Danio rerio: one gene and its partners. The protein of the gene in region 3 binds, or shares a complex with, the protein of the main gene of each other region. Links are inferred from orthologs where the notes say so. Each region holds a gene or a part of one and is shown on either strand. Other genes may lie near its edges. The genes, in order: dpf1, phf10 and smarca2.

The links.
Region 1: smarca2 (region 3) and dpf1 share a complex: the UniProt entries of both Homo sapiens proteins name them as parts of the neuron-specific chromatin remodeling complex. The link is inferred for Danio rerio from reciprocal best matches to the Homo sapiens genes SMARCA2 and DPF1.
Region 2: smarca2 (region 3) and phf10 share a complex: the UniProt entries of both Homo sapiens proteins name them as parts of the neural progenitors-specific chromatin remodeling complex. The link is inferred for Danio rerio from reciprocal best matches to the Homo sapiens genes SMARCA2 and PHF10.

Annotation. Positions count from the first base shown.
Region 1 is NC_133190.1:16,343,958-16,354,153, reverse strand, and holds part of dpf1 (zinc finger protein neuro-d4), read left to right. Parts: intron 1-2,278; coding exon 2,279-2,439; intron 2,440-2,534; coding exon 2,535-2,642; intron 2,643-6,806; coding exon 6,807-6,934; intron 6,935-10,196. UniProt on the Homo sapiens protein: May have an important role in developing neurons by participating in regulation of cell survival, possibly as a neurospecific transcription factor. Belongs to the neuron-specific chromatin remodeling complex (nBAF complex).
Region 2 is NC_133188.1:6,026,342-6,036,375, forward strand, and holds the end of phf10 (PHD finger protein 10), read left to right. Parts: intron 1-1,450; coding exon 1,451-1,559; intron 1,560-3,705; coding exon 3,706-3,894; intron 3,895-6,287; coding exon 6,288-6,373; 3' UTR 6,374-6,564; downstream 6,565-10,034. UniProt on the Homo sapiens protein: Involved in transcription activity regulation by chromatin remodeling. Belongs to the neural progenitors-specific chromatin remodeling complex (npBAF complex) and is required for the proliferation of neural progenitors.
Region 3 is NC_133180.1:46,072,995-46,083,190, forward strand, and holds part of smarca2 (probable global transcription activator SNF2L2), read left to right. Parts: intron 1-934; coding exon 935-1,042; intron 1,043-1,120; coding exon 1,121-1,207; intron 1,208-4,481; coding exon 4,482-4,528; intron 4,529-4,693; coding exon 4,694-4,860; intron 4,861-5,017; coding exon 5,018-5,181; intron 5,182-9,736; coding exon 9,737-9,964; intron 9,965-10,196. UniProt on the Homo sapiens protein: ATPase involved in transcriptional activation and repression of select genes by chromatin remodeling (alteration of DNA-nucleosome topology).

The DNA of each region.
Region 1 (10,196 bases), on a different chromosome or scaffold from region 3:
AGGAAGAGCTCTAGGAAGAGTTCTGGTGGTTCCAAACATCTTTTATCTATGGATGATGGAGGCCACTGTGCTCATTGGAACCTTCCCCAGCCTTGCGCCTCGAGACAATCCTGTCTTGGAGGTCTACAGACAATTCCTTTGTCTTCATGCTTGGTTTGTGCTTTGACATGCACTGTCAACCCTGGGACCTTATATAGACAGGTGTATGCCTTTTCAAATCATGTTCAGTCAACTGAATTTACCACAGGTGAACTCCAATTAAGCTGCTGAAACATCTCAAGTGTGGAAACAGTGGAAACAGAATGTACTTGAGCTCAATTAAGAGCTTCACGGCAAAGGCTGTGAATACTTCTGTTCATGTGATTTTTCAGGTTTTTTATTTTTAATAAATTTGCAACAATTTAAAAATTTTTTTTTCACATTGTCATTATGGGGTATTGTGTGTAGAATTTTTCCATTTTGGAATAAGGTTGTGACATAAAAAGTCTTAACATACAAAATATAAAAAAGTGCTTTGAATACTTCCCGGATTCACTGTATATGACGGAATAAATAAAAGCGTTAATCAGAGGCAACATTCAGTTCCTTCCCTGCCAACTAGCTAGCAATTTTATGCAGGACAATTAACCTCATGACACAGCAAAACAAGTAAAGCAGTTCCTTAAAGTTTTATTCTTTAGGTGATGAATTAATCTATAGAAAGTTAAAGTTGAAAAGGAAAAGTTAGTTTTGGTAATCTTCCTTTTGCTTCTTTGTTTGGAGTGATGGTCTTTCTCTGATGAAGTCAGTTTGACAGCTTCAGCCACAATATTCTTAACCACGCCCCTCTTACTGTTAATTTGCTATGAGGGAATGATGCACTGAAAGCCCCACCCCCTACTCAATATTCCGTTTTAGTTGAAAGTACATGAACAGTAATACAGGGGTAAATAAATCTTTATTAACATTGGTAATAAAAGTCTCAACAACTTCCAGTTCACATGGATTTTCAAGCTATTAAGGCGATTGTGCTACCCACTGCACCACCATGCTGCCCCTGAAGTCATTCAAAGCAATTCAAATCTGTCATTTTTGCTTTAAATTATTTAAAACCTCATTGTTATTTTTGTGGGAATGACGATCATATTTTCTCATGTAACATCCTAATAAAACAAATGTATAAAAAAGAAAAGGTTACAGTAATGCCGTAATAAATGAATCTTTGTTAACATTGGTAATAAAAGTGTCAGCAACTTCCAGTTCACATAGGTTTTAAATAAAAATATTGACAATATGAAAGGACAGCCTAGAGTCCTGATTTACACTTGATTGAAAGTCCTTAATAGGATGTTAAGGTCATTTAAAGCTATTTAAATCTGTCATATCTGCTTTAAATTATTTAAAACCTCATCGTCATAAAACAAATGTATAAAAAAGACAAAGAATTTAAGTAATAAATTAATCTTTGTTAATATAAGTAATCAAAGTCTTAGCAACTTCCAGTTCAAATGGCTTTTTAAAAATACTGACAAAATGAAAGGACAGCCTAGAGTCCTGAACTAAACCTAATTAAAAATCCATGGTGAGATGTCATTCAAAGTTATTCAAATCTGTCATATCTGCTTTAAATTTTTTAAAGCCTCATTCTTGACACATAGGTGAAACCTACTGGTTTGAAGAATTTGAGAAAGTACAAGGATTTGAAATGGCAGTGAATTAGTATTTTGGTATTTTTGTCATGCTTAAAGGGTTAGTTCACCCAAAATTGAGAATTTGGTCATCATTTACTCCATTATTTACCCCATTATTGCTTCAAATCTTAAAGAGTTTATATATTTTTTTCTGTTCAGCATAAAAGAAGATATTTTGAAGAAAGCTGGAAACCTGTAACCATTGACTTCCATAGTATTTGTTTTTCCAACTATAGAAGTCAATGGTTGTTGGTTAATGGTTTCAAACATTTTTCAAAATATCTTCACCAGTGTTTAAAACAATAAAGACTCTCACAAAGGTTTGGAACCACTTGAGGGTAAGTAAATTTACATGTTTGGGTGAACTTTGTTTAATTAGAGCCTTTAATATGTCGTGAAATGTTTCATTTTGTGACAAGATTTTTGGTAAATAAACTATTGGTATACTGAATGACTTGTTAGTTTGCATCTTTAGTCGTGGCTAACTGATTTTCATAGTCATTATTTCATTGTTTAGAGAAAATAAAATGAAACAGGCCACAATCTCGTACATGAGAGGAAAAAAAATAACCTGTATTAAACTTAGATTGTTTTTGAAATGTTTCCAGCCTTGGTGAGGAGTTTTATCGTGAGGCGATTGAGCACTGCCGCAGTTATAATGCTCGACTTTGTGCCGAACGCTCCATGCGCCTGCCCTTCCTCGACTCCCAGACAGGTGTAGCACAGAGTAACTGCTACATATGGATGGAGAAGACTCACCGTGGGCCAGGTGTGTGTCTGTGTGTATCCTACTACACAGGTGACTTTAACATAAGTTTTGGGTTTTGGGTGTTTATGTGGCCACTCTGCATCTGTTTGACCCAGGTGTGGCTCCAGGGCAGCTCTATACCTATCCTGCACGGTGCTGGAGGAAGAAGAGACGGTTGAACATCTTAGAGGATCCACGTCTTGGACCCATCGAGTTTAAAATCGGTAAAATTAAACTAAATGTTTGATGTTTTTGTAAGTATGACAATCGTATTTTTCCACATATCATCCTAATAAAAAATGTATAAAAATTAAAACGGTTACAGAAATGCAGTAAGAAATGAATCTTTGTTAACAGTTAATGAAAATAAAGTCCTACATTGTTAGTTAGCTCACAGTGCATTAACTAATGTTAACAAGCCTAAAGATATTTTAATAATTCATTATTCTGTGTTGAACGATAACAAAAGGCAACACACTGTTATACTACATAAACTTATTATTCTCTTTCCATCTTTTTCTGAGACTAGTTTCTATATGCATCTCCTCCTAAACCATTCAAGTTACAAAGACCAAACTAACTGCAAACCTCCAAACTGCTCTGACTCGGGTTGCTATATCTTTTCCAACTTGTCAGAAAAAATGACCCGGAAGTTTCGGAAAAGTCCCATTGACTTAACATTAGACCAAACTATGTGACCTCATAACTCTGCTCCAGACTGTCATACAGAATTAAGTTTGGGCTCATTTAACTCAGACTACTAATCTGCCAATCAATGATATATTTTAACTTAGTAGCCACACCCTAGCAACCACTTACAGTACCCTAGCAACTGTTCCATAGACTTACATTGTAAAAAAATTGCCATTGACTTTACATTGAACATACTAAAGACATACAAATTCATAATAGCAATATACTAATCCATGCTAGAACTATGCTAATTCAAATTAGAATCATGCTAATTTATGTTAGCAACTGCCTAGCAGCCACTCAGAACACCCTAGCAACTTCCTAGCAACACCTTAGCAACTGCCTAGCAACCACTCAGAACATCTTAGCAACCGCCTAGCAATTAATCAGAACACCCTAGCAATGACTTAGAAACTGCATAGCAATCACTCAGAGCACCTTAGCAACTACATATCAACACCTTAGCAACCACTTAGAACACCCTAACAACCACCTAGCAACACCTTAGCAATGACCTGGAGTATCCTAGCAACCGCCTAGCAAAGCCTTTGCCACCACTCAGAACACCCTAGCAACTCCTTAGCAACTGCCTAGCAACCACTCAGGACACCCTAGCAACCACTCAGAAAATCCTAGCAACTGCCTAGCAACACCTTGCAACCACATAGCAACACTTTAGCGACCATACAAAACACTCTAGCAACCGCCTAGCAAGAAACATGCCAATCCATACTAGAAACATGCTAACATATATGTACTTATCTATCTATGCCAACTGTTTCTTAAAAACTACTTTAGGTATTTAAACTTTAAAACTACTTCAAACTTTCAGACTAGGCTTTCTCAAGCCACCATAAAGTTACGAGTGTCTGAACTTTACTCTTCTAGTTAATAAATGATGTATAATGCATTTTTCATCATTATTAGTTCAAGTTGGTAAATTCATTAAACAGCTTCAACTAATGGCGATGCAGTGGCACAGTAGGTAGTGCTGTCGCCTCACAGCAAGAAGGTCGCTGGTTTGAGCCCCGGCTGGGTCAGTTGGCGTTTCTGTTCTACCCGCGTTTGCGTGGGTTTCTTCCGGATGCTCCGGTTTCCCCCACAGTCCAGAGACATGCGGTACAGGTGAATTGGGTAGGCTAAATTGTCCGTAGTGTATGAATGTGGATGAGTGTGCATGGATGTTTCCCAGAGATGGGTTGCAGCTGGAAGGGCATCCACTGCGTAAAACATGTGCTGGATAAGTTGGCGGTTCATTCTGCTGTGGCGACCATGGATTAATAAAGGGATTAAGACAAAAAGAAAATGAATGAATGAACTTCAACCAATGAAACCTTAATGTAAAGTGTGACCAAAACATTTCTTGAAAACAGTGGTAAGCAATGTATTTTCATGTTTGCTTCTGTACTTTATCAAAGTATTTCTATTTTGGGAAACTTTACCTTATTTCATTGCATTTCATAATTATGTTGTGGTGTGAAAGTAAGCTAATAATGCTGAATATTAGGATTTATTTTCGTAAATGAAAATCATATTTAGGGTACTACTGTTAGCTTGTAAAATGCTTGAATGTAAAAATGTCTGTTTATTTACAATCGCAACACAATGCTAATATAACATTAGGTAATGTTAATGCATCTTCTTGCTGTCATAGCACTAACTAGATACTAGAATGCTAATTAGTTTGTTTTTAAGAGCCCTGGCTAGTTGGAAATATGTACCTTAGCTTACATATTTGTGAAATATAAAATACAGTTCTCGGGTACATTTCAGTTGACAAATTTAGGGCACTGCCTAGATTTTTGTTAATCTTGTGAACAAATTACTTAGGGTATATTTTGTTGGTCATTTCAGATACACGTTTTTTTACATGTCCATGAGAAGTACAGGTCACCTAGTGCAGTGGTCCCCAACCACCGGGCCAATTGGTACCGGGCGCATTAGAAAAAATCATTCATTAATTAACTATTTAAACAAACTCTTATTTTGAAACATGACTGTAATCTCTCGCTTACATCCCGGTCATTTGAGTGCCCAAATTTAAACCACAAGCTAGCAAAATGAGTAAGAAACAGACGTCTTTGGAAAGCTTTTTTGATAAGAGGAAAAGGCCCAGTGAACTGCCATGGAATAGATCTGCAACCCATTTTTCAACAATTTAGGTGAATCCAGCATGTCTGTGCAACAAGATCAACTGCTGGAGAATGAAAATGATGGCAGGCTTTTAGGGGCCGTTCACATATCGGGGCTTCTCTGCACGTAAGTTGGTTATTTTCAATGGAGATGTGCGGCTTGCACCTGCAAGCGGCGGGATGTGCTCGCGCCTTCCAGACGCAACCAGTTAAAAAAATGCTGCGAGCGCACCACGAGTCAAGTGACAAGAACAGTCCAATCAGCTTCATACTTTGTATGGAATGTACACATTTCGGTAAACTAATTATTTTAGACAAACACAGAGCACGCAAACACTGTAGCGCTTTTTCATTTTCTCCATAAATAAAACTTGTATCAGAGTTAAAACATTGTTTTGTGAGCTTGTCATCCTCTGAGAATATGGTTGGTGGTCGCCTAGCAATCTATGTAAACTCCCCCCTGCCCCCTTGGTCCCTGGTAAAATTGTCCAGCGTTGACCGGTCTTTGGTGATAAAAAGGTTGGGGACCACTGACCTAATGAACCACTGACGTCAACCCTTCCCTAAACTATAACCAATAGTGTTTTCAACAGCAAAAGTATAAGAAAAGATAGTTTTATCTATAGCTTTTATCTCTTTTGTGAACCTGTGCCATTTATTTGTCATAAGTATGCTTTTGTAATTACAAAGCATGCTAGGTACAAGAAACCTGCTGTGACTTATTTATTTTAAGTAAAAAGAACTTTCATTAATATTTGAGTTAAAGTTAAAACTCATTTAATTGAATTAATTGCACTTTGATTTTACAGTGAATGAGTGCTTTTTTATTATGGTATCTGTATATTTCTCAGATTCTTGATTTGTGTACTTTGTCCATGCTTGGTTGTAACCAATTGTACTTTTTAATATTTTTGTGTTACATTTTTCTTTCATCAAAAGAAAGTTTAAAGTATTCACATTTTTTAAACCTTTTTTGGTAATAATACTTGCTGTATTACTAATGAAAATAATTAAATAATACTCACTATTCACTCACTCTCAAGTGCTTCCAAACCTTGAAAACCTTCTGAAAACCTGTAACCATTGACATCCATACTATAGGATTAACAGATACTATCCAAGTTCATTTTTAGAGGTTACCAGTTTTCTTCAGAACAGCTTCTTTCGTTTTCAACAGAAGAAAGATAGTCAAACATGTTTGTGTCACCTGAAGGGTTGGTAAATGGTGACAGAATATTCAGTGTTGGTTGTGTTACCCTTTTGCTGTATTAGGGCCAGATTTATTCAAATAATGTAAGACGGCAATCTCATAAAATTCTGCAGATGATCTAATGACAATTTTAAAAACACAAACACAACCGTTATTTGGCCACTGTAATCTACAAAGAGCACCGCAAATTATTGATAATGTGGCTTTGTAATCGATATGTTGGCATAATGACGTCTTCTAGCATTACAACAGTGAAGAACATCACAAATCTTTAAATGCAAGTTCATCCTGACAGCCCAAACTAAATGGTTTGCGTTGTTATAAGATGACATTTATTTGCCTTGTGTGTCCAGACTATGAAGCAGCGCTAAAGAAAGAAGGGGGTGTTCCTGATGGTCCCGTCCTGGAGTCACTCCTCAGCGGTGAACTGCTGGATAAAAAGGTGGAAACAAAGGAAGAGGAACCCATGAGCGAATGCCAGGTAAGAAAGATTCCTCCTAGGATGACTCTTTTTTTTGCAGAAACAAACACTCGACAGTCAACTAGATAAAGACTTCTTTCACACTCTCTTCCATGAAGACACTGTCCCTGTGTGTCGTTTTCTTTTTTCAGTACCCTCTTTCCCACCATTCAGAGTTTCCGTCTGCTGGCATCTTCCTCTCTTCAGCTCTTCCCTCATTCTCTTCGTCTTCCTCTCTGATTTCTCTATAGTACTTGTGTCTCTTCTTGGCAGAAACACAAATGCCTGCAGGGCCGACACGCCTCCTCTGGCAGACTTCCTTGTTAACCACAAAGTGTGTATATATATATTTTGCGAGTATACATTTGTTATCGTTGTGTGAATATGCCGGTATGTTTGACAAGTCGGTTGTATTGATTTTGCGGAGAATGCTTTCTTCAACATCTCCGGGTTTGCGGGAAGTAACGTTTATATAACCGCTTTGACACACGGATGCTCATAGATCATAATGAAGCGGCGTGCATTTAGATTGAGCTGTCAGTAGTGTCGCCACCCTCGCTGTTTAGCACACAACATGACATCTATCCCAGAGGCGGACAGTTAACCAATTAGCACTTCAATTAAGAGTCAGTCTTTGGAGTGCCGCGTCTCCTGGGAGTGGACCTGTGATCCTGCTGCTTGTGTCGCCTCAGGAGTTAAACAGCTGCGCATCTCCCTGCTATTTCACTTCTGCAGCCGCGCATTATGAGTGCACTCACAGTTGTCCACTTGTTAGGCAGTTATCATCAGAGTCAAGGGCTTACTTTCAACCAAAAATGGACATGTACTGTTATTTTACTGAAAGGAATGGGTCACCTAAAAATGAAAATTACCCCATAATTTACTCCATCCTCTGTGTAAATGACTTTTTTCTCGGTCAGACAAACAGAGTGAGTAATTTTAAATTTTATCCTGGCTCTTCCGTGCTGTTTAATGGTGTTGGATAGTGGCTTTTATTTTGAAGCTTACAAAAAGTGGGGGTTAATGGATGTCTGTGACACACCAAACCAATCCTAAACAACTAGTGCAGACGAAAATGGACGTGATCTTCCAACCATCAAAATTCACATTGTGTACACCTGGCTTTAACCTTCATCTGTACAAGATGTGGGTGACTTTTAGTTTTTTTTTAGTTGAATATTAAAAATAATTTTTTAGATTAAAATGTGGTCATTGGTGATTCATATTAGGGCTGCATGATATTGAAAAACTTTGATATTGCGATGTTTAATATTTCTGTGATTAAATATTGTGATATTCAATTTGATTTATCGTTATTTCTTTAACCGCCACAGTGTCTGCTCAGGATACGGCCTGGTCCAGGATTATGGAAACCTCTGGAATAATAAAACCAGACTAATATAAGCACAGATGTTGTTCCAATTATGTCTTTAGGGAAGTGTTCTCAGCTCTGGTTGCCCTAAATGATGCAGAATAGCAATGCTTTATGTTATGGTTTCATGGCTAGTATACTGCATAGCTTGCTCTCTGTAACTCTCACATGGTCGCCCACTTAAGCTAAGCAGGGCTGTGCCTGGTGAGTACCTAGATGGAAGACCACATGGGAAAGCTAGGTTGCTGCCGAAAGTAGTGTTAGTGAGGCCAGCAGGGGGTGCTCAACCTGCGGTCTATGTGGGTTCTAATGCCCCAGTATATTGATGGGGACTCTATACTGCTCAATGAGCGCCATCTTTCGAATGAGACGTTAAACTGAGGTCCTGACTCTGAAAAAGTAGGGGTTTAACCTCGGCGTCCTGACCAAATTTGCCCACTGGCCTCTGTCCATCATGGCCTCCTAACCATCCACATATCATAATTGGCCCTTCACCAATCAGCTGGTGTGTGGTGTGCAGTCTGGCGCAATATGGCAGCCATCACGTCATTCATGTGGATGCTGCACACTGGTTGTGAATGAGGAGATTCCCCTCAAAAAATGCGTAAAGTGTTTTGAGCGTCCAGAAAACCACTATATAAATGTATAGAATTAATAATTATTATTATTAAGGTAAATATGAACTGAGGCTCAGATCAAATCCTGTTGGTTCTTACTGCAACTTTAACCTGACACATGACACACAAGAGTGAACCCTATCGGTTCTCATGCATCAAGCAAGCATACTTCAAATGTTGAATGCTGTAAACATGTTTTTTGTTCAATGAATAAAACCCTAAATTAAATTAGCTCTTTAAAACCAGTCATATATCTTTTCTTATGGATTTATTATTTCTAGAATTGCTAAACCTGAAATAGTTTAAAGAAAGAGCTTAGCCAAATAGCAAAGCTCTCAATTTACCGGTCAATCTACGTTCCTACTTTCACCTATGGTCATGACTCATGGGTCATGGCCGAAAGGACAAGGTCTCGGATACAAGGGGCTGAAATGAGTTTCCTTCGCAGGGTGGGAGGGCTCACCCTTATAGACAGGGTGAGAAACTCTGTCACCCGGGATGAGCTCTGAGTAGAAGCCGCTGCTCCTCCACATCGAGAGAAGTCAGCTGAGGTGGTTCGGGCATCTGTTTCAGATGCCTCCAGGAAGCCTACCTAGGGTGGAGTTCCAGGCATGTCCCACCGGGAGGAGGCCTCGGGGAAGACCCAGGACATGCTGGAGGGACCATAGGCTGATTTATACTTCTGCGTCAAGCACATGCATATGCTACGACGCAGCCAACGCGTTGACACATAGCTCTACGCCGTGGCGTCAGCATCGCTGACACGCACCTCTCAAAAAATGTAACTACACGTCGTAATGACACATAGCACAAGCTCTGTGATTGGTCCGCTTGGTAGCGTTGACGAGTCTGGGCAGGGACGAGGGCCGTGCGAGCCCGATGGAGCAAGTGTTTACAAGTGTGGAGTCCCATGAAGGAGCTCCAGATGGAAAGTTTTATTTTGTGTTTACCTCATGGTTAAAGTTGTTGCACGTCCGCTGGTCCCTGCCTCAAAATGAGCGAGTTTAAGCCACTTGTACATTCAGGAAGTGTTCAGAAAAAACAGAACACCAGCGAAGAAACTCGACACAGAGGAATATTAACACCTCACTGCCAACTATTGTTTCGGAAGTGTTATTGCAGAGCAAAAGAAACAGCGCGCAGAAGAATAATGCACAGCTACTCGTGTTGCATGCACCGTGGGTCACACCGATCACTTGACGCAGAAGTATAAACCGACTAGCCTGGGATCACCTCGGGATCCCCCCGGAGGAGCTGGAGGAAGTGACTGGGGAGAGGGAAGTCTGGAGTTCTC
Region 2 (10,034 bases), on a different chromosome or scaffold from region 3:
CAAATGTTGTCACTGCTCTTTTTGATTTGATTATTATTACTTTTTCCCCAATGGTAGGTCTTTTGACATGTCCATATTTAGAGTAACCTTTTGAATAAAGAGGTTTTAAAGAAATGACACTGTAGAGAGATTTCTTAATGACTGTGAGCATTGAATGAAAGTGTCACGTCTGCTGTATACGCTTTGGTTGACTTTTGAGTGTATGGTCCATTTTATACACTTACGTTACTTTGCAATTGGCTTTCTCTACTTCTTGGTTGTTTCTTGGTATTTACTCTTACTAATTTAGCAAATATGTATGGAATGGATTGCTTTTCATACAAAGCATGGGAATTTTAAATAGGGCTGGCCGATTTAATCGAGACGATTTTTTTATGCACATTTTGTCAGTAAAGCCGGTTCTAGTAAAAACGCGTTTAGATCAGGGGGGCCCAAACTTTTTCTTTTGAAGGGCAAAAATAAAAACAAACTTAAGGGCTGTGGGCTGGAGGTTAATATTGCAAAATGTATTAAAGCTGATTTATAATTCGGCCTGCCTTGCGCATAGCTGTGCATAAATACTTCTTTGCGTTGTTTCTGTTGCTCTGCAGTAACACCTCCGAAACGCTAGCAGGCAGTAGGTTTTTATGTTCCTCTGTGTTGAGTTTCTTCGCTGGTGTTTTTGTTTTCTTTCTGAATGCTACTTTAATGTACAAGTAGCTCAAACTAACTCATTTTGAGGCGGGAATCAGCAGACGTGCAGCAACTTTAATCATAAGGTAAACACAAAACAACAATTTCCATCCGGAGCGCCTTCATGGAACTCCACACTTGTAAACAATCGCTCCATCAGGCTCGCGCGGCTCTCACCTCCACCCACACTCGTCAGCACTACCAAGCCGAACAATCCCAGAGCTTGCGTTATGCATCATTGCGATGTGTAGTTTCATTTTTTCAGCGTCGACGCCGGCCACACAGAAGTATAAATCAGCCTTAAACCGAAAAGAAAATAAATGAATGTATGAATGTGGTGTGCAAATAAATTTTTTGGGGGGTAATAATTTTTTTGCCAAAGCTACATTTTTGTCGACTTCGGTGTCATGTCCTACAGAAGCAGATTTTCATTTAATAATAATAATAATATTAATAAATTATATATTTATATATATATTTATCTTAGTGACTAAACTTTAAGCAGTGACCTATTGTATATTTCATATATTTTCTGTATACTTAATGTAAAATGCAGATTATTATTATTATTTTTTGTCTTTCTTGTTTGTGTATTATTATATATGCGTTAAGTCTTTTTAATTGAAATTTGGGCAATTTCTATTGTTTTTAGCCTAATTTGCTCTGGTAAGTTCTGCTGACGAGCTGTAATTGTAAAAATGTTATTGGTTGAAGCATATCACATGGTGTGTATGTCCTTGGTTGCCTTGGCGTTTATAGCATTACTCTGCCCTTGCAGCCTAAGGTCATTCCCAATGCTATATGTGGCATATGTCAGAAGGGTAAGGAGGCCAACAAGCGAGGCAAACCAGAGGCTCTCATCCACTGCTCCCAGTGCCAAAACAGCGGTAAGTCAAAAGCAGCTCTTTCTGAAGCAGTCCTTGCTTTTCAGTTTAAATGGCACCTTCTGAAACAAGTAGTATAAAACACAAAAAACGAAATCGAAAATCATTTTAGTTTTAAAATACATGTTTTAATTCAAAACTCTAGGTTCTAGTTATTAGTAATTTGTATCTGCTATTATAAGTAGGACATAAAGTTGCGGTAACACTTTATAATAAGGTTCTGTTAATTAGTTTGACACAACCGTCCTGGATGTACTTTATCCTGCTTATTACACAAATACTTGACACGAAAACATAAATATTAGACACAAAACATCTGAGCCGTAATAGTTTATTCAATCTTTAATTAAATGCAAAGCAGACCGAAACAAAAACGGCTGATGGAGTATACACTAACCTGTGAGTAATTCAGACACAATATTGTGACAAACTGTCAACAATGCAAAGTTTGACCGAAACAAAACTAGCTGCATAAAGCATAGACTTACCTATGTATTATTAACGGTTAAAAGCCGAGGCATGATAGACAAGCAGATACATATGAACGTAGGTATAATTATTTGGATGTGACAGCCTGATCTCTGGCGTTTTGTCAGTTTAGTGAATTTGTACGAATTCAGTCTTCTGAAATTGTAAAATTTTTAAAAAGGAGGTGTGGCAACCTACTGCGCCCCTAAACCCAATCGTCACTCGTAAATTGATGAGCAAATTGTATGAATAAGATGGTACAAATTCATACGAATTGGCCACTAAATCAAAAAGTTACGAATTGCCGTGAGAACGTGTTGCATGTGAACGTATTCGCTGACCCTGAAGGTGATTCAAAATTTTCTGCGTTAAGCCATTGTTAACTAAGAATAACATACTGAATATTGTCACTGGCCAATCAGAATTGAGTATTCAAGACAGCTGTGTAATGAGTAAGGGATAAAGTACATCCAAGCGCAAAATGAAGGCCCGACAGGCTAATCAGCTGCCTGACGTTAAACGGAGCACTGTTGTATAAGACTGAAGGGCTTTAATCTGCGAAAATCATGCAACAGGATATAGTTTATCCCATTTATTTCATGGCGACATTTCACAATATGTACAAATTGGACAGAACTGTTTTGAAACATGAGTTGAATAATTCTTTAAATAAAAGCAAAGCTGACAGAAACGAAAACGGCTGAATGGAGCATACACTAACCTACGTATTATCTTGTCGCAAAATGGCGCCAGAGACAGACAAGCATATAAATATGGAGGTAAACGCATTCACTGACAGTCAAGATGATTTGAAGTACCTAGATGAGCCTGTGTTATTAGTTTAAGTGGTTGTTATCTGGGAATAGCATGCCTTGGGATGCAGCGACTGACTAATCAGAATTGAGTATTCCAAACTGCCGTGTAATAATGATCTACTAACATGAACAGTTTATTACAGTGGTAATTAATCTTTGTATTTTAAATTTTGGGTTTTAATAATGCATCAGTGAATGTTGAACTGTGATTAATAAATGCCATGCAAGTATTCTGCGTTCATGTTCGTAAATACGTTTAACGTTAACAAATAGAACCTTACTATGAAGTGTGATATTTTTTGTGTATGCTTTTTGAGTGTTTTAATCCGTTTTATACACTTGTGTTTCTGACTTAAACGGAATATTGAGTAGGGTGCGGGGCTTTCTTTTTGCGCATCATTCCCTCATAGAAAACTAATGGTGAGAGGGGCGTGGTTAAGAATACTGTGGCCGAACCATCAAACTGACATCATCAAACACAGTTCAAACACAAGCAAGTGCTCAGATGATTACCAATAAACTTTTTTCAATGGATTACCTTGCGTACGTTAATTGTTTATTTAAAAATAAAAATGTGCGTTAGCAAATTGTTTACATTTTGATTTACCTTTTGATTTCGAATATGTTTTAGATTTTTGAATACATTTTGATTTTACACGCATTTTAATATATACAGCACTCTGTTTTTAAAGCCTTTTCATCATCCTGTTGATAAAAAAAAAAAGTTCTCGTGTATCATTTCTTAAGTTTCTGCTTGCTGGAAAAGATACGTTTTTGTGTGAATGGCTAATGATGATGATGATGATGATGATGATGGTGATGGTGATGGTGATGGTGATGGTTATGATGGCCTTGTTTGTGCTCAGGTCACCCGTCCTGCTTGGACATGAGTGTGGATCTGGTGGCCAAGATCAAGATGTACCCGTGGCAGTGTATGGAGTGTAAGACGTGCACCGTGTGTCAGCAGCCCCATCATGAGGAGGAGATGATGTTCTGTGATAAGTGTGATCGAGGCTTTCACACTTTCTGTGTGGGCATGGACTCCATTCCTATGGGTGAGTCTCTACTTAAGATCTTCCTCTCAGATTTAGGAACACATAAATAAAAATACATTAAAGCTAGAATAAAAGCAGTTATTATTTTTTTTAAAAACCATTCGAAAAACCTAGAGTTGTCTAGAACAAACCATCATTATACAATTATTTGCCTAGTTAACCTAGTTATGTCACTAGTTACCTTTAAGGGCTCTATTTTGACGGTTCATGCGCAGAGCGCAAAACGCAGGGCGCAAACGCTTTCAGGGCGTGTCAGAATGCATTTTTGCTAATTTAAGGACGGGAAAATCCACTTTGCGCCATGGTGCATGGTCTAAAAGGGTTGAGCTTATTTTCTTAATGAGTTATAGGTGTGTTTTGAGAATAAACCAATTAGAGCCTCATCTCACATTACCTTAAAGAGCCAGCTGCGTCGCGCCATAAGCGCATTTTGACGTAAAGTAAGTTCACTTTCTCTTTTGCTCTCGTGGATAGGGAAACCTTTACGCACAGACATTAATTAGCCTATAAATTATTAATTTCGTTTGTTAAGCGCAAAGATTTGTTTCAAAACTATTTCTAAATTCAGTTTTAATTTCCAGCAAACGAATAAATGAACAACAATAACAAAGTGTGCTCAAAAACCTGAGTTATTTCCAAATACACCTGCTGTGCCCCATATGGTCTAAAATTTGACAGGTGGACAAATCTAAGCTTGTTTTTAATAAAACAAATATAAATATGGATATAATAAATAATACTGCTAATAATAATAACATTATACAAAAGAAAATTGAATGAACTGAAAAAGCCTCCCGAGATGAAGAAAGTATGAAGGCAGTGGTTTTTAAATTCATGTAGGCTAGAAATTAATATGTTTTGTAATATTTTAATCATTGATATTTATATCCTGTATATATCCTTAAGATATTATATATTTTTCATATGTAAAGATATTTGCGTATTGCTCTGCATCTTGTGTGTAGTGTGTAAGCCAGGCGCACTTTGCGCCAGACAATAGACCGACTTTGTTCTGGTCTTAAGATCAGACTATTTACAGTTTCTCAAAATAGCAACGCGCCAAAACACGCCTGCTTTTTTAGACCAGAATGCCTATGGGTGCACATTTGAGCGCAAATGCATTTGCTATTTAAACGGTGTGGCGCAACACCTCAAAATGACCCTTGCGCTGAGCTAAAAGTAGCAAAAGAGTATTGCGCCGCACCTTGCGCCACATTGCGCCGCGTGTATGATAGGGCCCTACATGTCACTTTAAGCTGAAAACTAGTATCTTGAAAAAATCTAGTAAAATAATGTGCTGTCCGTTAGAAATGTGTTGGAAAAAAATCTTCTTACTGTTAAACAGAAATTGGGAAAAATATTCAGGAGGACTAATGATTCTGACGTCAACTGTGTGTATAGTGTTTACATTTTTACACAAATTGACATTATTAAAACTTAATTAAAATGTTAAAATAGGATTTTTGTCTGCGTTTAGGATTTATAATTCTTTAAATATGAAATCACTTGTATAAATGATGATGCAGATGTTAAGGTTAGTAACATATAATAATAATTATAATAATAATAATTATTATGGGGGGGGAGGGGTCTCTCCTTACCACCACCAGTGTGCAGCATCCGCTTTAGTGGTTTAACGTCTCATCCGAAAGACATCGCTCAGTGACAGTATTCACCTTATTCTTCGCCAACAAGCGGGCGCAGCCATTTGAATCTTTTTGGCTCGAGACTTCCGGTCTCATTCACTTCCATTCATTTTTAGACATTAAAAACTGCTCGTTTTGATGTTTGATGTTGCAAACTGATATTTTCTTATTATATTATTCTACTTGGTCTGTATAGTCATGCAAACATTTGTTTTTAGAGCAAGTAGTTTGACCGTTTTCTGACGTTTATTATTCCTAAACGTCATTTCTCCCATAGGCGACTGAATCGGAAGTTCTAAAACAATCCTGAAAACAGGCGCACTTCCGCATTTTAGAATAAGGTCAATAGAGTTTTTCTTTCACTATACTGAGGCATTAAAAGTCACACAGACCGCAGGTTGAGCGCGCCCTGTTGTCATCACAAACATCACTTCTAACAGCAACCTAGTATTTCTTATGTGGTCTCCCATTCAGGTACTGACCAGGCTCAGCCCTGCTTAGCTTCAGTAAGAACCGGTCTTGCGCTCATATGGCTGTGTACTGAGATTGTAGCTTTATGAGACCAAAAACATAATATAATATAATATTTTTTTATTTTTAATCAGCTTAAACTTGTGGAGAACTTTTAACAAAAGAAACATCCTCATGCTTTCCTACGAAATCTTTTGTTGAACATAGAAGTGTGATGGAACTATTATTGTTTTATTTCATATAATATATTTCTGTTTGCATTTTTATTTTGTACAGGTTGCTGGGTCTGCGATTTATGCAGCAAAGACATTTCAACACCTCAGAAGAAAGGACAAACAAAAACACCAAAAAAGGCCAAATAACTTGCAAAAAATGGACCCAATTTTAGACCATGCTTTTGATTTATTCATATTTTTCTATTATTTGAATAAGTCTGTATGTGTTTTGTATGTCGCATTAATCTGTTATTTTGTAGCTGATTTTTTACACGCCTGTTTCTCTGTTGATTATGCTTTTTTATTGATTTGTTAAATAAATTTGAAACCTTTTTTTGTCAAGCATTGCTTACTTCCGTCTTTACTAGTTCTCTTGACGTTGTGATAGTGATATTTATCAACATTTCAAAAGAAAAGCTTTTTTTTATTAGCTTTTTTTGTACTAATTTATTTATGTAATGATCATACTTCAGTAAACGGGTAGTAATGGATATTTTTCTGATCTAAAAATTTTTTTATGATCTAAAAACTGTTGGGATACGAACATTTAGATGCTATGAAGGAATGAATGAATGAATACCCGGGCAGATATTCTTGACTCTTACTGGCTGTAGGCATCTTCCTCGAGTCCCATTATTAGTGTTTATTTTTAGCTTTAAGTTCAGCTTCTAGACTAAAGCAGAACAGCACCTTGTAAATTATTTTATTTATTTATTTACTTTCTATAATTATTTTTAGAGGTTTTTCACCTTTAATTAGAAAGGACCGTGGAGGTTACAGACAGGAAAGTATTGGGAGCAGAGAAAAGGGAAGGGTCGGCAAAGGACCTCGAGCCGGATATCGAACTCGGGTCGCTGTGAGCACCACGGTGCTATACAGTGCTCAGCATTTTTAAGTACATCCCTCACAAATCTCTCTTTTATATTCATATTTTTAATAGGAAGCTATACAATTTTATATTTGTGCATATACATTAGATTAGTCAGTACTGAAGCTAAATCTGGAGCTAATCTAACAAAATAACTTACGATAACGGTCCAAAAACTAGTACACACAAATTTATGTAATAGAAAAATATTGAATACAAATTTTAAAAAGAGGAAAAATCAAGAGAAGCGATAAAATTAAAAAAAATGGTTGAAATTTTGTAGATTGTAATTTTTTTACTTGAATTTAATTGTTATCTTTCAATTTCTAAATATGTTTGGTGACTAAAATATTATTTTAATAAATATATCTGTTTAATAAATCTGTTTTGTTTAAATGCACTAAAATACATTGCCAACATTCACTGAGAAATTAATAAAAATGTTTGTTTTCAAAACTGTTCTGAGCACTGTATGTCAGCGCACCTAACCACTAGGCCAGGGGTGGCCAACCCTGTTCCTGGAGAGCCACCTTCCTACAGATTTCAGATGCGACCCATATCAAACACACCTGAACCAATTAATTAGGATCTGAACACCACGTAATAATTATAGGCAGGTGTGTTTGATATGGGTAGCAACTGAAATCTGCAGGAAGGTGGCTCTCCAGGAACATGGTTGGCCACCCCTACAGTAGGCTATTGGCGCCAACAGATTACTTTAATAGTTTATTGCATATAAGTGGTTCAAAACCACTGTTTATAAGTTTGGCACTTGAGCAAACATGCCAAAAACGACAAGGTTCAGTTCTTTTCAAGTCTAACTCCATAATTTAAAACAGAAGAACGAAACTCAAGTATCAAAATGATGACAGGATTGTCAGTCTTGTGTGAACTATCCCTTTAAGGGCTGCAGTATAAGGTATGATTTAGGGTTATTTAAATATTAAATAATTATTACAAAGTGTTTTCAGTCTCGGTTTTCTTACCAAGTGCATCCGGAGATTTCGTCTCAGTCCAGAACTTTCATTTAAGTGCATCCCTAAGATAGAAAAAACCATATAAACAGTAATAAGAATATTGCATAGACACTCACATGCACTCAAAAAAATTACGTTTGCTGTTTGTACAAACTACTTATTTAAAATGAGCTGATACAACACAATAGGGTATATGCAAAAGCATGCAGAAGGACTTTTAATTTGTCAGTAACCCGAGTCAAACACATCCGGGGAACTGTATGCACTTACAAAATCGGCCCTTGTAATGTCTGTTTTTAAAAATCAATAAACTTCACTGCCTAAATGATTTATGATATAAAGTGGGTTTCAGATTGTACAAGAATCAATGCATTAAATTACATTTTCCTGTACCATGTTTTTAAAATATTTACATTTATTTTACTTCAGTATTTACAATGGCGTTTCTGCCCTAGCCTGCTGATCCTGACGGCCCAAAGCGATCTCACGGCAATTCGTAACTTTTCGCTTAAGTGGCTAATTCATATGAATTTGTGCGATCCGATTCCTACAATTTAGTACGATTCGCTTAACACCCAATGACGTTTGGGGTTAGGGGTGGGGTTACTTGCAACGCCTCCTTTTTAAAATCGTACATTTTCATACAACTGAACTACGTTTGAATTTGTACGAATTAGCCACTAAAATGACAAAACGTAAAATGCTTACATTTCCTCGTGAGATCAGGCTGGACGGCCGAGTGAGTAAACGGCTTTTCATCTCATTTTACACTTCAGCAACTTATTGAACGATGAAGTCTATTTAACGGATTATATTTGAATAACAATACAACATCAATGCTGTAAAAGGAACCGTATAAAATTGAAAGTCACATTAACCGTTCACCGGAAGTTTATCAGTATTGGAAGAAACACTAGCTCTGCATTTACCCAATTCTCAACTTTTTTTAAGGCACAACTTAATTGTTTTATGTTCTACCCCCTTAAATTTGTAGAAACTAATAAGCTAACTCAATTTCTTCATGTTGTTTCAGCACAAATCGAGTGTGTGGAACCCACCATTTGTTTCACAGTGAACAATTATCGCGCTAACGATTATTTTCCGACATTTTGTGCAACTCTAATTCAGACCTGACATCATGAATTTTAAAGTGAGCAGTAGGAGGAGGAGTCGGACACACACACGGGTTGTTTTAACTACACCACAACACAAGTCAGTCAGTCGTCTCTACTTTCACTGCCTAGTAAATGGGAACAGTGTTTTTGCATTGTGTTTTGTTGTGCAGCAGATGCCACGTGGAGGTCAGTCGCGAACGACAGGTAACAGGTGTGTGAATGTGTGTTTGACGGCTGCTCTGATACCTAATATAGGCGTGTGTGTGTATGTGTGATACAATGGACACGCAAACCTGCTCCTCGGGAAAAGGCCTCGTAACAAAGACTTCTGCTTTCCATTGAGCGTCCGCCGCTGTTTTGACCGAGCCACAGCTGATGTCTGGCTCTTCACAGCTTGTGTTGTGTAATTGGATCTCGTCAGCGTCGGGTAACTTTTTAAAAGCTCCCTTTGGACAGAAGATAATATGCCAGCCTAAAAGAAAAGCAGCAGTCTGCACAATATAGCTCATAATCAAAATAGATCCTAAAATTGTCCACATATAAGTGCTTTCCAAACTAGAATATCATCAAAAAGTTGTTTTTAATGGTCTAATTATCAAATTTTCTGAGATACTAATTTGTCTTTTTTTTTGCTAGCTGTAGGCAACCATACTCATAAATAGTTAAAAGCAGTAAACACACTGAAAAAAAAAATGATTAATTAGATTTACTATAAATTTTAAAATGTAGACAAATTAAATGTATAGTGTTCAACTTAATTTTTTTAAAATTCAGCCCACTATAAATTCTTTGCAACCACTTACCTTCATTTTCATTTCATTCATTTTCTTTTTGGCTTAGTCCCTTTA
Region 3 (10,196 bases):
TGACATTTAGCATCTGTCTGCTTTGGTTCACTGCACACAGAAATCAACACATAGTCACTGCCTTTTTCACATACTGTGTTGACGCATTTTCACAGATATCGTGAAATACTGTAAAGGCCACCAAGAACTATAACATTAGAATGCATAATTCTAAAACAAGGGTGTCAAACTAATTTTCACTGAGGGCCATTTTAGCATTAGGCTGCCCTCAAAGGGACAGTTATAACTGTAAGACTGTATGGCGGATTTTCATGGAAACTTAGTTGAAACATTTTCAACAATAAGTAAAAAAAAAAATATATATATATATATATATATAAGGTGCCCTTTAAGATTTTTAAGTGCAATATGTATGAGATTTTGTTAAAAACATTTAATGTACAAAAAACAACATTGAATTTCAAAGATGTTCCCAGAAGTCATTGAATAAAGGAGGTGGGAAGTGCAACATTTGATATAGATTTATTATTAAAGTCTCATTTATCTCAGGAGTTTCCGTAAATGAGACAGTGAAAGTAAACATTACCATGAAAATCTTAATAAAGGCACATTAACAGTGTTTATTTGGTGAAATTCCTATTAAAATTTGTTTTATCTGTATTGTGCAACATTTGTTAGGGTCTTTATGGATAGTTTATATTGCGCATAAATGTCATGTGACCATCAGGAAAAACACATTTCATTTCTCACAGGACGCGGTCTTTGTTCTCGCGTTCCCCCAAATTTGTTCTTTCGAGGTAATCTTGCAAGACCAGTCACCACGAGAACATGAGTCGTGTCTCTGCGTTCTTGGAATTTAGAAACAGCCATTGTCTGCATAGTCACTGCCTGATAAGGCAGGAAATAAACAAGTCAGCTGTCTAAGCTTTGGGGCAAAACCTGTATGTCATCCTGTTCAAACTATATTGATGCACTGAGTCTTCATTTGTCACAGGTGGAGTATGTCATCAAATGTGACATGTCAGCCATCCAGAAGGTCCTGTACAGACACATGCAGGGCAAAGGTATCCTACTCACAGATGGCTCGGAGAAAGACAAGAAGGTAAACAGAGAAACTGTGTGCTTACTCACTTTTACACCACTGTGCAGATTTGATGTGTTTAATGTGTTTTCTCCACAGGGTAAAGGTGGAGCCAAGACCCTAATGAACACCATCATGCAACTGAAGAAGATCTGTAACCATCCCTACATGTTTCAGCACATTGAGGTATCACTATCTGTCATAGAACAATGTTTATTAAGTTAACGTTACATAGGTTTACCTAAAACTTGAATTTCTGTTATAACTGACTTTCCTGCAATTTAAATGACTTTAAATATATCAACAGAATACAAGAGAAGATATTTTAACGCTATTGCTTTTTGACATACAAACTCAATGGGGTCCAAAAAACAGAGCCCAAAAAAAAAAAATCTTCTTCAAGACCTAAAACTACTACATAGCTCTGAAGTTAGACCTTAAAGTTTCTGTCTATGTCTGAAAATAATAATAATTTTTGATTCATAATAGATTTATTTTCTGCAATAGGTTTATATCAATTCTAAGGTAAAAAAACAAACAAACAAACAAAAAACAAACATACATTTGTTTTTGTAGATACATCACAACAGCTGTTTTTTCACAGTGTTTCTAAACTCGTCTTTTCATCGCTCTAATTAGCGATGGCCAGTTTGTTATGATTTGTCTATGTACCAGTAATGAAACGTTCATTAACATATCTGAACAGTAACAATGTCACTAGCTAATTCAAGCCCAAATTCGCATGCTTTGAAAGTGAATGCAAATTGGAGACAGTGGAAAAAGGGGTACCATCTTAACATCAACATCACAAACCAAACTGCTTCATGCCTCAGCTTCAACTAAATGTTTGATTGAAACGGGTGTTGTTTGCATAGGTAGGCATTATGCAGTTATGTTACAAACCTTTGCAGTTTTGTGCTGGATGTTAGAAAAGAGTTACCGATGACTTATTTTTAAGCAATTTGGAATCATTTTGGGTGTACAAAAATTACATTAAAGTACTTTCACAAACAGCTATATTACATGCTACCTGAATGTTAAAATCTGAAAAAACTACAACAGGGACACTTTAAATATCTATCAACAATCAAAAAAGCTAACGCTTTACATGCAACTAACCCTGAACCTAACTTGCATTCTAATCCTAACCATATGGTATATACATGTAATTAGGGCTTTCTCAGCCGTGCGATATTCTGCAATATCAGAACTCGTACAGCCTCCTCAGCCTTCAGTATTACTCCGCCCATATAGAGTGACAACAGATCAATAAACTCATTATAGTTTGACAAATGTTGTAGCTGTTAGACAACATAATGTACTTTTGAGGCTTTTTTAGTCGAGATTGTAGTTGTTTAGATTGCAACTATGCCTTTATTTACTGTATAAGGATAGAGCCTGTTTTAAATAATAATACAAAATCAGCCTGTCACTGAGCAGAGCAAAGACGGTTGACGTCCATGTACAAGATGGCGACAGAGACCACATAATAAGCCCTTAAAAGAGAAAAACTCTAATTTCTAACTACAGCTGATCAAATCATTATTATTTTGGTGAGTAACATTTTAAGTTGATGTCCCTCTTTTGTATGTTGTAGAGCTGCATTTATGCCGTAGTAGTTGTTGTGTATTAAGTGTAAGAAAGGACTCGCATATCAGGAATGTATGCATTTTGTGTTGGCCACTCTTTGGCCCAATCCAAATTCTACCCCTTAGCTCTTCTCCCTTCCTCTTAGCCCTACGCCTTCAAGCTAAAGAGAATTGGGACACCCCTACCCCTTCACGGGAAAGTGCAAAACGAGCGGTTGGGGGTGTCCTAATTCTCTTTAGCTTGAAGGCATAGGGCTAAGAGGAAGGGGCGAATAGCCCTTCAAATTTAGATTTTTCAGGACCACACTCGAAACCAAGGAGTAATAAAATTTCCCAGAATGCACCATCCACCACGGCAGGGTCACTGCACCTGGAGGTCAGAAGATGCACAAATTAGTATTGTTTTATATTATTGTGAATTTTTACAACAAACAAGCACATGTTGTAATATATTCATAGCCGCATTTGTGTTTTACCGTCATGCTTTTAAAAAAACGCTAAAATAAAAACTGCTAAATTTCGCAATGTATAATCAAAAACTATAACTTATGTATAGTAGTTCCACAACATTCTGACACTCGATGACACTCGAATACCCTGTCAGAAAAAGTCTAGTGACTGGGAAAGAGCTTTAAACAGTGTGTGCTATAATGTTAGTTTTGTTTTTGGTGTGTTTACATTGATGAATAAGGCCACTTTGTAAATGCACAGTCCAGTTACGATCTTATTGTCACATTAGATTGTTATGATAACATAATACATACCTTAAGTGATTTCCTCAAGAAAAATACCAAAAAAATAAAGCAACTGGAATAACTACAGCACTGATCTCATATGAAGGATGAGAACGCAATGACATATATTGACGTGTGCAGGTCTTGTAGTGGTGTCCCATTTTTTAGGGATAAATTTCGAAGTCCTTCTCTTTTACACTTTGTTTTATGGGCCAAGGGGAAGGAGTAGGGGTTAAAAATCTAATTGGGATTGGGCTTTTGTATAACCTAAGGTTACTTTTTGATTGGCCATCTGTTTGTTTCTATTGAGTCTTCTTGCTGTAAGAAAAACCCGCATGTGTTTAGCGTTTTTCCTTATCGCAAACACAACAGTAATATCGTATTGTTTGCACTGCTTTAGCTTTTTCGGGGTTATTTATGTGATCTCTAATTGCAATAAAGAAATACTGGGAAATATCTGTCGACTGATGACATTTCATGCCAGTTAGCCTTACAATCTTAAAATGTAATGTAATGTAATGTAATGTGTATTTATATAGCTCATTTATTATGTATGGCCAAACACCCAAAGCACTTCACAATCATGAGGGGGTCTCTTCACACCACCACCAGTGTGCAGCATCCACTTGGATGATGCGACGGCAGCCACAGGACAACGGCGCCAGTGCGCTCACCACACACTAGCTATTGGTGAAGTGAAGAGACAGTGATAGAGGCAATTCTGTGGAAGGGGATGATTAGGAGGCCATGATCGTAAGGGCGGATAGGGGGACTTTGGCCAGGACACCGGGGTTACACCCCTGCTCTTTCACGAGAAGTGCCATGGGATTTTTAATGACCACAAAGAGTCAGGACAGTGTTGTGTCCCCTTAACTTTTTCTGGGGCATTAGGACTCACACAGACCACAAGTTACCAGAAGGCAAAGTATCATAGACGCTGCGGTGAACACTGTGGTTTCTGTGGTTACTGTCATTCCTCTGCAGACAAAAAAATTGCAGTTATCGCCACAGCCATAAACTGTATGTAAGCCTTGTTAGTTGTTCAACGAGCAGTGCCACTGTAATAAACAGTCAGTATTTTTTTCCTACTTGTATAGCATGAGCTACACTAAAAGCATCTTTTTTGTATCTATTCAGGAATCCTTTGCTGAACATTTGGGATTTCCAAATGGCATTATCAGCGGGTGAGTATACATCAAATCGAGCGTTACATAACCTTAAGAGTTACCATGAAGTGTTCATTCATGTCAATTATGGATCACTAAACTGACCGCGGGCTCTGGACAGTGGAGGTACACCATCATAGATTTGACATTAGCGTTGTGCTTTTTTTTTTCTTGTCCACCTAGCCCTGACCTGTACCGAGCCTCTGGCAAGTTTGAGTTACTGGACCGCATCCTGCCCAAACTGAAGGCCACCAATCACAGAGTGCTTTTGTTCTGCCAGATGACCTCCCTCATGACCATCCTGGAGGATTACTTTGGCTACCGTAACTTCCTTTATCTGCGTCTGGACGGTCAGTAATCAGCGCAGTCCTTCTTTAATGTTTTCCTGTCCTTTAGGGCCTTATTTCTTGGGGGTTTCCAATTGGAAATTTTAATAAGTGTGATCACACAAACATGCTGCCCTTTCTCTTTCATTAACACTCCTTTGCTGCTGGTTTTGTCCTCCAGGAACTACAAAGTCAGAGGATCGTGCGATGCTTTTGAAGAAATTCAATGAGGAAGGCTCCCAGTATTTTATCTTCCTGCTGAGCACCAGGGCGGGAGGTTTGGGGCTGAACTTGCAAGCTGCAGACACTGTTGTGATCTTTGACAGCGACTGGAACCCCCACCAGGTTTGTGTGATTCACTGCTGTGATTAGAGAGGAACTAGACAGTCGCATAGCAAGTTTTCAGCTCAGCAGTCATCTGTCATCTCTAGATCTGACTTGAAATACATTTCAAAGTGCATGTTTGTTTGAAGTAATCGTGGAGGTCTGTTTTTCTACCCTAGCAGAAAAAAGGTAGCTTTTTCTTTTGATTTTTTTGAACTGTTATTTGATTTTGATTACATCAAACCTTTATAAAAAAATTTTTTATCTGTAATTATGGTCTTAAATCTTAGGTTCTTTATTTAATTTTGTTTTATTCTTTTATTATATTATCTGAAATTATCCTGTATATACATTTTCTTTTTATTTTTAATACATTAAAATATCTTTAGGCAATGCAGTGGCGCAGTAAGTAGTGCTGTCACCTCACAGCAAGAAGGTCGCTGGTTCGAGCCTTGGCTGGGTCAGTTGGCGTTTCTGTGTGGAGATTGCATGTTCTCCCTGCGTTTGCGTGGGTTTCCTCCGGGTGCTCCGGAGTTTGCATGTTCTCCCTGCGTTTGCGTGGGTTTCCTCCGGTGCTCCACAGTCCAAAGACATGGGGCACAGGTGAATGGACCCTTCGCTAAGCCCCGCCCTCCTTAGTTACTGTTGCTATGCCTGTCAAGCTTTATTGCCTGCAACGTCTATTACAATGTGTATGCGCCAGTTTCAGACATTGCCAGGGATAAAATTAGTCATTTTTTTCCAACAGATAAGATATCCGAGAAAGCCAGACAAAAAAGGACAGCAGTATGCATTACAGGGGTAGATTCACGACATAATAGGCAACTGATTAGAAAATAACCGGATCAAAATTGAAGCTAGCTTAGCCTAGCCGCCTCATACGCTGACCATTCAACAGCTCAGTTCATGCACAGCAGGAAAGGTGACATTTAAAAATAATTCAGTAAAACTAAATAAACCCTGATTTCTCTTTTTTAGCCAAAAAGCCTGATAGATTAATTGTTGTGCAATGAAGTATAGCGTTACTTACCAACTAGGAAAAACGCATGGACAGTGCTTCTACATCATTAATTTATAGAAAGAACAGCCAAGAAGGGGAAATAGATGGATTTGTACCAGATATTAGCATCATTTACCCATAACAGTGAACACCTATCACCGTCTGTACGTATGTTTGTGTGCTCTTTATAGCGTTTCTATTCTAATTTACAGTTAAGTGAAAGAGATAAATACATTGAAATGCAAATCAAAGTATAAATAGCAGAAGTGAACGAATAGATTTTCCCTACCAGCAAATATTAATCCGATGCCAAATATAAAAGCAGACACTAACCCTCTATAGCATCGTCACAGATGAATAAATCTCCAAAAGACAGACGAAAACATCAGTGAATTGTAGCTCTGACATGGACATCGAGGCTTATAAATGACTGAAAAACAGCTGCTTGTAAAGTATACTGATCGCAAGTGCTCAGATTGTGATCACATCTCGGTTTTGTTCTGTTGATATGTAATTTCAAATATTCGAAGCTTGAAACAGATGGAAATATGATTGCTATTTGTGTGACTCCAAAGGCTTAAATGGAGCAGTGCTCATAATATCGAGCGAAAAAAGAAAAAGACAGCTGGGAAACATGACCTGTTTTGTATTTTTGTAATAAACACACTTTAGATCTGTTTAGGGTAAGAGGTGTGTGAGTTATTGCCGTCTATGACTGAATGTGTCAGAAATATCGAAAACAAAACTGACTTAACACCGCTCCTTTAGCACCCCTCACAGAGATTGATCCATGCTGGCATTTCTCCCCTTGGGTTTTAGGTTTTGAAAAGGGAAAAAATTCCACCACCCAGTCCAAACTTTAAGGATACCGGGTATCAGATTTGCACAATCAATATGCACAGCGCTTTGGCCTGTTTCCCTCGCTCGAAAGCTTGACAGAGCTCCTGCGCATAGCTACGGTTGCTAAGCCACGATTGGTGGGTGGCGTTTTTTGGGTGTGGCTTAGCGAAGGGCCAATTAGGTAGGCTGAATTGTCCATAGTGTATGGATGTTTTCCAGAGATGGGTTGCAGATGGAAGGGCATCCGCTGCATAAAACATATGCTGGATAAGTTGGTGGTTCATTCCACTGTGGAAACATCAGATTAATAAAGAGACTAAGCTGAAAAGAAAATGAATGAATGAATAATAGCTTTAATTTAGTTTTCTGGTCATTTCCATATAATTAAAATTTTAATTACTTTTACCTACATAGACACTGATTGTACTTTTGCCAGTTCTCCTTAACTAGACAGCCTGAGTAACAGCAGCTGAAGAGTACTGTATAATGTGCATGTTACTTTTAAGGCTATATTTGACAGATTTCGTAAAGGCTTCAGTACTTTTTGAGGTCTCTCTGCAACTTGACACTTGTGAGGGCGACTTGGCTCTATGACAATGAGATGAGACCTCAAATTTAATATTCTGCCACTTGTCACAAAGCACATTTTGCATATTGACTGATCTAAAGTGCCTGAATTTTATTTTATTATTTTATTTTATTTTATTTTCAGTCCCAAGTGGAAACATGCCTGTATAGGTAGTTGACATCACATAAGATAATAAACACTTGTATTAATTATAATTTTTCATAAAAAAATGATGGTACTGTATATGTAATAAGTATATGTAAGTCCAATAAAATTGTTTGCTTGAAGTAGAGGTCTGTGCGTGGCTATAATTTATTTTGCTTGCGACTGCTATTGGGTAAAACTTTGAGGTGTTATCACATTGTCCATAGGGTCATTTTTTTCCATTTGTGTATATGACACATGTAAAAGAATCCTATACATCAGACTTGCCTGATATGGGTTTCCTAACAGTAAACTGACCATTTTTAATGCAAGTTGAAGGACAGCCAATCTACACTTTGCTCTCCCATGTTGGTAAAGACAGCTTTGATGACCGTTATGCAGATGATGCGTGCACAGACTGTGCCAATAAAATGCACATGCAGAAAGCACTGGTCCATGCTTTCAGCATGTGTAACAGTCAAGAGCACTGGCTGTACCGGTGCTCAATAAGATATGCTATTCCAAAATTATATTGGGACACTGGAGCACTATTGTTAGAGCGACCGCTTCAATTTAAATTACTGATGGTTTTCTCAATTACCGCATTTTATTCAGAAATTTATTTGCATCGCAAGAAATCTGCTTGGGTCCCACTGCTGGACTTTGGGACCTGACCAAAAGTCCAGCAAGTCTTTGTACATGACCGTGAAGTCATGTACAAAGACTTGCGTGGAAATCCTCCTAAACATTGCGTACGCACAAAGGTGCAACATGCAGGAGCGCAAAACCCCTCCCTGCCTCCTCCCCCGTATGAATATGCTAATGACTCTACTTTGGCAAAACCCAACGAAAAAGCAATGGCAAAAGCAAGCAAAAAGAGAAACTTTGAACAGAATGTGAATTGAGGGTGCTCCTTTAGGAGGTAGACCAGAGAAAAACGGTGTTATTTGCAAGTTTGTCCTCCGGAATTAACAACAAAAGAAGAAAAATAGAGTGGGGAGAGTTTAGCTGATGCGGTTAACACAGTTAAGTCTGAACATCGCACTGTGGATTAAAAAAAGAAATAGTGTTATTTATAGTTGTAGATGTTGTAGTACACTCAATAGTCTCAGTGGCGCAGCTCGTAAAACGCATGTTAACATGTTTTGACACGTTCGAGCATGAACTCTGTTCGAATCCAGCGTCAGATGAACTCATTCATTCATGCATCATATTTTATTTGCACATTTATTGAATGGAAATGTTTCTGATTCACGCATGCAAATTCATCTTCAGATGGCGCCTTTATAGCAATGTGCGTGCAGTAGATAGCTCCGATTACATTGGGAAAACCGGCAACCGCTGCAAATAGCGCTTTAATGTTTGGCTGGTCAACTGTATGGTATGGAAACCTTATATACCTGCTAGATGAACCTGTCTCATACAGCTGCCATTGCACGGCTCAAAGACTCTTTGTAAAGTGCAATTTAACACAACTGCCTCTAGGAGTCGCCAATGGAAATAAAACAGACACGCAAAAAAAAATGTGCGTACGCCAACATTCCCACGTTCATTTCATCGTTAGTAAATCCAAACGTGAGCGATTCTGAGCGTGAAACCTGGCGTACGCAAAGTTTTTGTGCATACGCAGCATTGATACATGGCCCCAGGCCCCAGATTTCTTGCTATGCAGGAATGCAGACCTTTAGCTTAAAGTATATCATCTAAAACATTTTGTTTACGCCTGCAGACAAAAGTAAATTTGTTGTTGGCGTTTGTAATGTATGTATATATTAATTGTTTTTTTTATTGTTGTTTGTTGTGTTATGTGCCTTTGCCCCACACATTTTCAGCAGAAGATGCTAATGTTAACCCATCCATCCTCCTCCACAAACAGTGCACAGAAAGTCACAGTGATTTGCATCCATTTGTTCTTCCTTTAGAAAACAAATCAAAGAATGCACTATGCCTCTTTTTAATTAAAATCCCCCACTCTGATTATTATTGATCTAATAATAACACGCTGCTGTGATTTCCACCACCAGGACTTACAGGCCCAGGACCGAGCTCATCGCATTGGCCAGCAGAACGAAGTACGTGTGCTGCGCCTGTGTACCGTCAACAGTGTGGAGGAGAAAATTCTTGCGGCTGCCAAGTACAAACTGAACGTTGATCAGAAGGTCATTCAGGCAGGAATGTTTGATCAGAAATCCTCCAGCCATGAGCGCAGAGCTTTCCTACAGGCTATTCTGGAGCATGAGGAACAGAATATGGTGAGTCACTGTAACAAGATCCGCTCTGAGTTATTGTTAGACTTACTAATTACATCTAATGATGCACCAAAGTAAAAAATTACTTCAAAAAAAGTAAATAACAAGGTTGCTCCATTTGTAAAACTGTTTGATGGCTGCATGATTCTGGATAAATTGAGAAATGCCTTTTTTATCATATTTATTATCATAATTTTTTTTAACACCTTAAAGAAGGGGTGTCCAAACTCGGTTG